2 linked regions of the Saccharomyces cerevisiae S288C genome follow. Changing the gene in region 1 together with any one later gene gives a genetic interaction. Each region holds a gene or a part of one and is shown on either strand. Other genes may lie near its edges.

Region 1 (4,751 bases):
TGAGTAGAGCTTTGTCGTGTATTTTGTTCAGGACATGGTACTTTTTCGCCTAATGTTTGAAATATCTGGTAAATATTCTCACCAGTCTTAGCGCTTGCTTCGAAATATAAGAGGTTCTCTCTTTCACAGAGATTTTGTACAGCTGGTGCTTTCATAGCCCTATTTTCATTCTCGTCATCATTATTCAGCAAATCCATTTTGTTCCCCACCAAGGCAATAACGATATCATGTCCTACCTTCTCGTGTAGTTCTTCGACCCAGTTTTGAGCCTTATAAAAAGACCCTTCATTAGTAACATCAAAAACTACCAAAGCAGCTTGAGCATTTCTGTAGTACATAGGCGCTAAAGGAGCAAATCTCTCCTGGCCTGCCGTATCCCATATTTCAAATTTAATGACCTTGCCATCCCTTGTAATTCTCTTTGTTAAAAATGCGGCACCAATAGTAGGTTCTTTGCTCTCTTTAAAATCGTCAGATACAAACCTGAGGACTATTGAGGACTTCCCGACAGCAGATTCTCCGAGTAAGACTACTTTGATAGTTAATGTTGGAATAGCTGCTGTATGTTTATCCATTCTACTTAACTTCGATGCTGAAAAAATGTAATAAATAATTTGAATCTAACTCTATTTGGTCAATATACGTGCATTCAGAAGGCCTTTCCCGACTTATAATATGACAATATTTAATAAATTCTACGGATTTATTTTATTTACATGGGAAGAGGCTTTGCAGTTTAAGGACCCCTTCCGCCCCGGAAATTGACATTTTAGGGTATGGTTGGTCACCAAGGCGTACGCGATAATCAGTTGGAATGGAAAGATAAACTGAGTTTAGGGTATTTTGTAAGAGTGTATTTGATCGGCAACCGAAGATTTTCTTTACTCTTGACTTCATAAAATTTACATATTTACATTTAGCCCTTCTATAACCGTTTTTTTAATTTCCCGATCTGATGAAAAGGATGCAACATCACTCTAAAACGTTGAAAATGGCTCCAATTCATAAGGTCACTTTAGTGTATACAATTTTTAAACTCCCTCCCGATGTATATAAATAACAGTGTATTTAGTTTGAATACTTCTCCCTAATTCTGCGAATACTGTCTTCCAAACTTAATGCCGGATCCGAAAAGAACATCAATGTGGTGTCTTGATTGCTCAATTTTTGAATTGAGTCCATTACTCTTCTCTTCCATTCATCTGCTTTTTTATCCATGAAAGCACCATACATGCCATAGTCATTTTGTGAGGATGGTACATAGTAAGTATTAGCGTCTAAGTTAGGTAACTGTCTGTTCGGCAACGGTGGTGGGGCAACTCTTTTAGCATTGTTCTCATCTTTATTACGGCGTGACATTCTTATACTTTCGGTTTGCTCTTCTGTCAACGATGGCTTTTGAGTGGAAGGAATGGGAGGTGGTGGTGGTCTTCTCCTGGTACGTACGGTAGACTTGGTCATTTGCATGGGCCGTTGTTGTAATTCGATGATATTGTTCACTTCATTCATAACTTCTTCATCATGCGATGGGACATCACTCATGGAATTAGAGCAACATCTTATATAAATAGCCAGAATCTGGTTCGGAAATTGTAAAGCCGTAGTGGTATACGCTTCTAAGTCATGTTCACCAGAATCACCGACCAAAATAAATTTTTTTTTGGGAAAATCCTTTAAGATATTTGCAATCGGCTGAATTTTTCTATTCGCACTTGAAGTCATGATAGTGGAAAAGAAATTACCAGAGTATTGTTTCAAAAAAATTGGACCCGGAGGAAAATTGGCGCAAATATATTGTTTCAAAAGAGTAAAAGTTTGGATGGGTGAATTAGAAACATAAAAGAAATCAACGTCTGCGACATCATGTAAAGTTTTGTACCAAAGAGGAACACCATCTATTACCCACGATTGAACATCATGGATGAAAACATTACGAAACATCGATCTCCTGTCACCCGTAACGCCAGTATGCTTGATGGTGTCGTCAATATCACTGATTAAACCAATACCGTAGGGCGAGACATAATTGGCCGGAAATGTTTCAGATATGGGATCTGCATGGCCTTCTATAGGGGTATCTAATGTAATATTAATCTTGGACGGTAAAAAATCTGTTTCTGCCTTGATTAGTAAATTACCATAAGAGTCCGTGGTACCAAAAAAGGAAGCCGTATCCCCTCTGAGCTTATCTTTGGGCAATAGGTCAACCACCACTGGAGTATTAGGAACTTTTTTGGACAGGAATCCTTGAATTCTCTCATTCAGAACATCTTCCTCTTGGATGCCCATATGTGAATACCTATTTTCGCTCTTTGAAGACAAAGAACTTTCTATACTTGATTGGGAGTCGTTTAAATCTCCAGAATCCTCTTCGAGATGAGGGGGAACAACAGGTGCAACATCGGCCTCCGCCGTTCCAGTTCTAAGATATTGTTTACAAAGAGAAAGCAACCACCTATTTCTCCTGCTTGTAGGATTTCCTGGATAAGAAACAGCACATCTGACAGTAGTTTCAAAATCTTTCCGAGGCGCACTCAAACCGTCAGGGTCAACCAAATTAGTTGTGGTATACGTTGGAAAATATGTTATCGTGGTATTATGTGGCAATTCCATAGGCAAGTCATTATAACCTTCGAAGGAATTCGTAGTGCTCCTGATGCCATCCATTGTCTTTTGAGAAATGGATGACGTCAGGTTAGGAATATAAACATCCTTTGTGGTTCTTATGAGATTCATAAACCGTTGTTTCTTACCCATTCGTGGGTCTCCAGAAGTAGGACCGCTAGTAGCAGCAGTAGAGGAAGAGCTTTCATCGTAACCTTGACTATTCATCTTTTTATTCCTTCTCCAAAGCAATTTTTTCCCCCTTTGACGGAACTTATAGCCAAGTTTCAATGTCCTTGTCTGTGTTAATGGTCCCAAGAAAAGACGGCGATTACTAGACAAACTCTTTATAGCCAACAAACCGACAGAGCTAGAGAAACATATGACACTGTTTATTGAAAGCCTTGTGCAACCCACTATTTGCGATATATATGCCTTAATGATGCTAAATTTTTGCCCTGGATCACGAATAGTATAACAGCTTCGTATACTTTATGTCTCGTGGGCATAAAAAGCCAAGAAAAGATACACAAACCAATCACAATGAACAAGCTAACCGTAAAGGCGTTGCCACCCTATTCTAATGCTTTATCTGTCCGAGAATTGTTGGTAACCTCGTTTGGAAAGTTAGACCGCGCCCTCATCATCATTTGCGCGACCACGTGACCCGCTGCGGCTGCGGTTTGCGCGAAGGTTACAATATCTTCCTACTCGATGACTTTTAACCTTTGGATCAAGAGCACAACGTTCTGCCTGAACTCTTATGCTCATTTTGTGCATACAAGTTGCCTTTTTGTGCCATATTAGGATATATTGCCTTCTGAATAAAACTATTCAATTCTCATCACTTCCGCAGTTAGAGAACGCTTTTATGGCATATTGTTACAAATCATCGCTAAAAAAGATATAAACAGTGACTAATTAGCGTCAGCGCAATTTTTTTGGAGAAGTTATAGAATCAAACAGAGAAAGGGATTGAAACCTCAAATTTTCATCAGATGGTGCACATTACTCTGGGTCAAGCGATATGGGTGTCAGTTAAGCCGATAATCAAGATTTATTTGATTATAGGAGTCGGCTTTCTGATGGCTAAAATGGGAATTCTTACGGTTGAAGCAACAAGAATTATTTCTGATATCGTGCTAACAGTTTTACTACCCTCTCTGTCATTCAACAAGATTGTCGCTAATATTGAAGATAAAGACATCAAATCTGTGGGAATTATCTGTCTGTCTGCCCTCCTAATATTTGGTTCTGGGTTCTTTTTTGCATACGTTGTTAGGCTATTCCTGCCTGTTCCTAAACAATGGTACGGTGGTATTCTTGCCGGTGGTATGTTTCCAAATATAAGTGATTTACCAATTGCATATTTACAATCTATGGACCAAGGGCTTGTATTTTCGGAAGAAGAAGGTAACAAAGGTGTGGCTAACGTCATTATATTTCTGACAATGTTTCTAATTTGCATTTTCAATTTGGGGGGGTTTCGACTGATTGAAAGCGATTTCGAGTACAACGACGATGAAAGCGCCGTTAGGGTTTCAGAAACGACAAAGACACAGCCCGCAGTAAGTGCAAACACAACTAATACAGATACTAGCGAGCGTTTCTTCTCAAACGAACAACAGCTTTTCAACAATAAGTACACCGCTCGCGATAGTCTCACTGAAGCTATAGGTACAAAGGGTGAAAACGCAGACGTACCACCAATTTCAAGGAGATCAACAAATAGTATAGCTCCCCTGTCACTACCAGACACTTCTTCGAATTCAAAGATTACAAAACCAGTTCAGGTGAAGGCAAGAAATACTATTGCGTGCACTCAAAGCGAAGAGTCACAGGCAACTCGTGGTTCAAATCCATTAGATAGCCAATCATCTGCTTCAACAATACATTCTTATAATACGTCAGAGAGTTATGAGAGTAGCATAGATACTATGAGAGCACGTAGAACCGCGAGCCAGCCGAGAGCTTACAATACTACCACACTCCTAGAAGAGAACTGTTTAGATGAAAAATGCCCAAAAAATATGTCTATGGCGGCATTGGAACCTATCCGCTCCATTGATATGCGTGCATTACCTTCTCAAAATATACACCATCTTATCAGAGAGTACTCCAACGTTGACCAGTATGGTCATCAAAGG
Region 2 (3,491 bases), on another chromosome or scaffold:
ATTTATATACATCAAGACATATTATTAAGTGTATAGGCGTGACTTTGACTATATATTTGATTTGTAACGAAAGAATACATCAAAATTCAACTATGAAATGGTTATTATTGTGCATGCACATCTTGAATTATCAAAAAGGTCTTAAATGTTCTTCGGACTTTCTTGAAATCTTCGAAAACTGATGAGAATTCTTCATTATTTTTTTTTTTCTTCTTTTATTATTTTTTATGTTTATTCCATATATACACTTATAATTTTTTTTTTTGCGATTAATATAAGTTTGCCTGGATACACGAACATATATATGATTAAAATGGTTGTCTCGAACAAAAAAATTCACTTTTTAGAGGGGTTTCTTATTTATTCGTATATGTACGTAATTTTGATGTTTAGGAAAAATTCACGGAAAAGAATATATATTTGAACAGAATCAAAAATTAGGAGGGAGGCAAAGAAAGTAACATCAAACGAGTTGAGCATATCCAACTATATTATTAACGTTAAATGCTGTCCTCTAAGACCTTATTCAGTTTTTGAATCTTTGTAGAAATGCTTAAGTCAACAGTCTTGTCACCAAGTTCTACAATCAAACCACCCTTAATCTCTGGCTTAACCACGTTTTCCAGCTTCAAAGATTTACCTTGCCCCACCAATTTGGAGGCGCTCAAAGCTTTTTCAATCCTCTTGAAAGATTTAGGATCCAATGGTTCAGCACTAGTCACTGTACCTTTAAGTAACCCGTTGTGAGCATCGTTTAAAACGCCAAAGTCAGACGCAATTTTTTCAAAACATCCCAGTCTGTTATTTTCGGAAAGAACCTTCAATAGGTTAACGACATAACCATCCAAATTCTTGTGAGTCTCCACGATGGCATCAATGACAGAATTTCTGTCCTTCAATGACAATGCAGGATTCAGTAATAAGTGACCTAATTTTGGATTCTTTTTGACTGTGCTTTCAACTTTTTGCAAAGATTGAAAGGCAGCATCAATAGAGGAGTTCTTTGCAGCGGCCTGATATAAAGCTGTTGCGTAAGTGCCCTCAACACCGAACAATCTCACCGGTGGGGGAGCAGCAGCTTTGGAAGCAGCAGCTCTTAAGCTTGATGCAAATGACCTGGTAAAGACTCTATTAAACATGATTGTCCACGGTTTAAAAATAATGCGGTAACTTGCTAATCGGTTCTTACTCTGCGGAAAAATATCTCAATGCCACAGTAGCCTGCTTAAATTTCCAAGTTGACTGAATTTTGTTTTCAATGAGATAAAAACTAGAAATACTGTACACAAAGTTAACAATTGGCGTTTGAAATTGTTCCTAGATAATTGAAAGTTTTACTATCTCGCCAAAAGATCACTTCATTATCTTTAATTCCTTGTTTTTCCCACCCGGGCCCGGGTAAATGATATTTCAAATATCAGCATCTTATTGGCCAGCACCGTCTCTCGAAAGTGTCCACTTTATGACGACGGCATAAAATATAACGATTTATTGGACGTAAGTAGTTTTATAAGTTACTAAACCAAGATTATTCCGGCAAAAAAATGAACTTTAAGAGATATCTGAGCGCTTCGTATTTCTTGGTAGTCCCTTATAATGTACTACATTTATGTAGACCAGGTTTGCAGCCAGATCTTACGGGAAAGAGATTTTACGGCTCCCAGTCCGAGCTTTTCCATATACTACTCTAATATACAATGCATTCTTAGATTTCTTAACTGCTGCATATGCTGTCTTTGGTCCTTTGCAAGCCTATTACTGCGGATTTAAGTTTTTTCCACTGATCGTTACCCGAATTTATGGGTTCTGAAAAATTAGAAGATGGAAAATTTTTCAATACGCGATGAGATGAGATAATTGTATATATGTAGTCGCATCTTGATAGGTATGCAGCGTACCATACATTGAGTAACAATAAGCACTGTTACCAATAAATATAGAGCAAAAAAAGATGGAAAAATCACTAGCGGATCAAATTTCCGATATCGCCATTAAACCGGTCAATAAAGACTTCGATATTGAAGATGAGGAAAATGCATCTTTATTTCAACACAATGAAAAAAATGGAGAAAGTGATTTAAGCGACTATGGAAATAGCAACACAGAAGAAACCAAGAAGGCGCACTATTTGGAGGTGGAAAAGTCTAAGTTAAGAGCAGAAAAAGGTTTAGAACTAAACGATCCAAAATATACAGGTGTTAAAGGTTCAAGACAAGCATTATATGAAGAAGTTTCCGAGAATGAGGACGAAGAAGAAGAAGAAGAAGAGGAAGAAGAAAAAGAGGAAGATGCTCTTTCATTCAGGACAGATTCTGAAGATGAAGAAGTAGAGATTGATGAAGAAGAATCAGACGCGGACGGCGGTGAAACGGAGGAGGCTCAACAGAAAAGGCATGCACTATCGAAACTAATTCAACAAGAGACTAAACAAGCTATTAACAAACTGTCTCAATCAGTTCAAAGAGATGCTTCGAAGGGTTATTCCATTTTACAACAGACAAAATTATTTGACAACATCATTGATTTGAGAATAAAACTACAAAAAGCTGTAATTGCAGCAAATAAGCTCCCATTAACTACAGAGTCCTGGGAAGAGGCTAAAATGGATGATTCAGAGGAAACAAAGCGTTTGCTGAAGGAAAACGAAAAACTGTTCAATAATTTATTCAATCGGTTGATAAATTTCAGAATAAAATTCCAACTTGGCGATCATATCACTCAAAATGAAGAGGTGGCGAAGCATAAATTGTCCAAAAAAAGATCTCTCAAAGAGCTTTACCAAGAAACTAATAGCTTAGACTCAGAACTAAAAGAGTACAGGACTGCCGTATTAAACAAGTGGTCTACCAAAGTTTCTTCTGCATCAGGTAACGCTGCTTTATCATCTAACAAATTCAAAGCTATCAACTTACCTGCAGATGTACAAGTCGAAAACCAATTATCCGATATGTCCCGTTTGATGAAAAGAACAAAGTTGAACAGGAGAAACATAACGCCTTTGTATTTCCAAAAAGACTGTGCTAATGGCAGGCTACCAGAATTGATTTCTCCCGTTGTCAAAGATAGTGTTGATGACAATGAGAATTCGGATGATGGGCTTGATATCCCGAAAAACTATGACCCAAGAAGAAAGGATAACAATGCCATTGACATTACCGAAAACCCATATGTTTTTGATGACGAAGATTTTTACCGTGTTTTACTAAACGATTTAATTGACAAAAAGATTTCCAACGCTCACAATTCTGAAAGTGCAGCAATTACAATCACCTCAACTAATGCTCGTTCGAACAACAAGCTAAAGAAGAATATCGATACTAAGGCTTCCAAGGGTAGGAAATTGAACTACTCAGTTCAAGATCCAATTGCGAATTATGAAGCCCCCATCACATCCGGATACAAATGGTCAGACGACCAAATCGATGAATTCTTTGCGGGATTGTTAGGTCAACGAGTGAACTTTAATGAAAATGAGGATGAGGAACAACATG

The links.
Region 2: mutations in APP1 (region 1) and ATP5 together harm fitness more than expected from each alone (negative genetic interaction), as found in Saccharomyces cerevisiae (2 studies listed by BioGRID).

Annotation. Positions count from the first base shown.
Region 1 is NC_001146.8:445,692-450,442, reverse strand, and holds APP1 (phosphatidate phosphatase APP1), read right to left. Parts: upstream 2,833-4,751; coding exon 1,069-2,832; downstream 1-1,068. Other genes in the region: Rab family GTPase YPT53, read right to left, coding at 1-575; YNL095C (uncharacterized protein), read left to right, coding at 3,603-4,751. UniProt on the Saccharomyces cerevisiae protein: Mg(2+)-dependent phosphatidate (PA) phosphatase which catalyzes the dephosphorylation of PA to yield diacylglycerol. May play a role in vesicular trafficking through its PAP activity at cortical actin patches.
Region 2 is NC_001136.10:1,057,676-1,061,166, forward strand, and holds ATP5 (F1F0 ATP synthase subunit 5), read right to left. Parts: upstream 1,140-3,491; coding exon 501-1,139; downstream 1-500. Other genes in the region: rRNA-processing protein BFR2, read left to right, coding at 1,952-3,491. UniProt on the Saccharomyces cerevisiae protein: Mitochondrial membrane ATP synthase (F(1)F(0) ATP synthase or Complex V) produces ATP from ADP in the presence of a proton gradient across the membrane which is generated by electron transport complexes of the respiratory chain.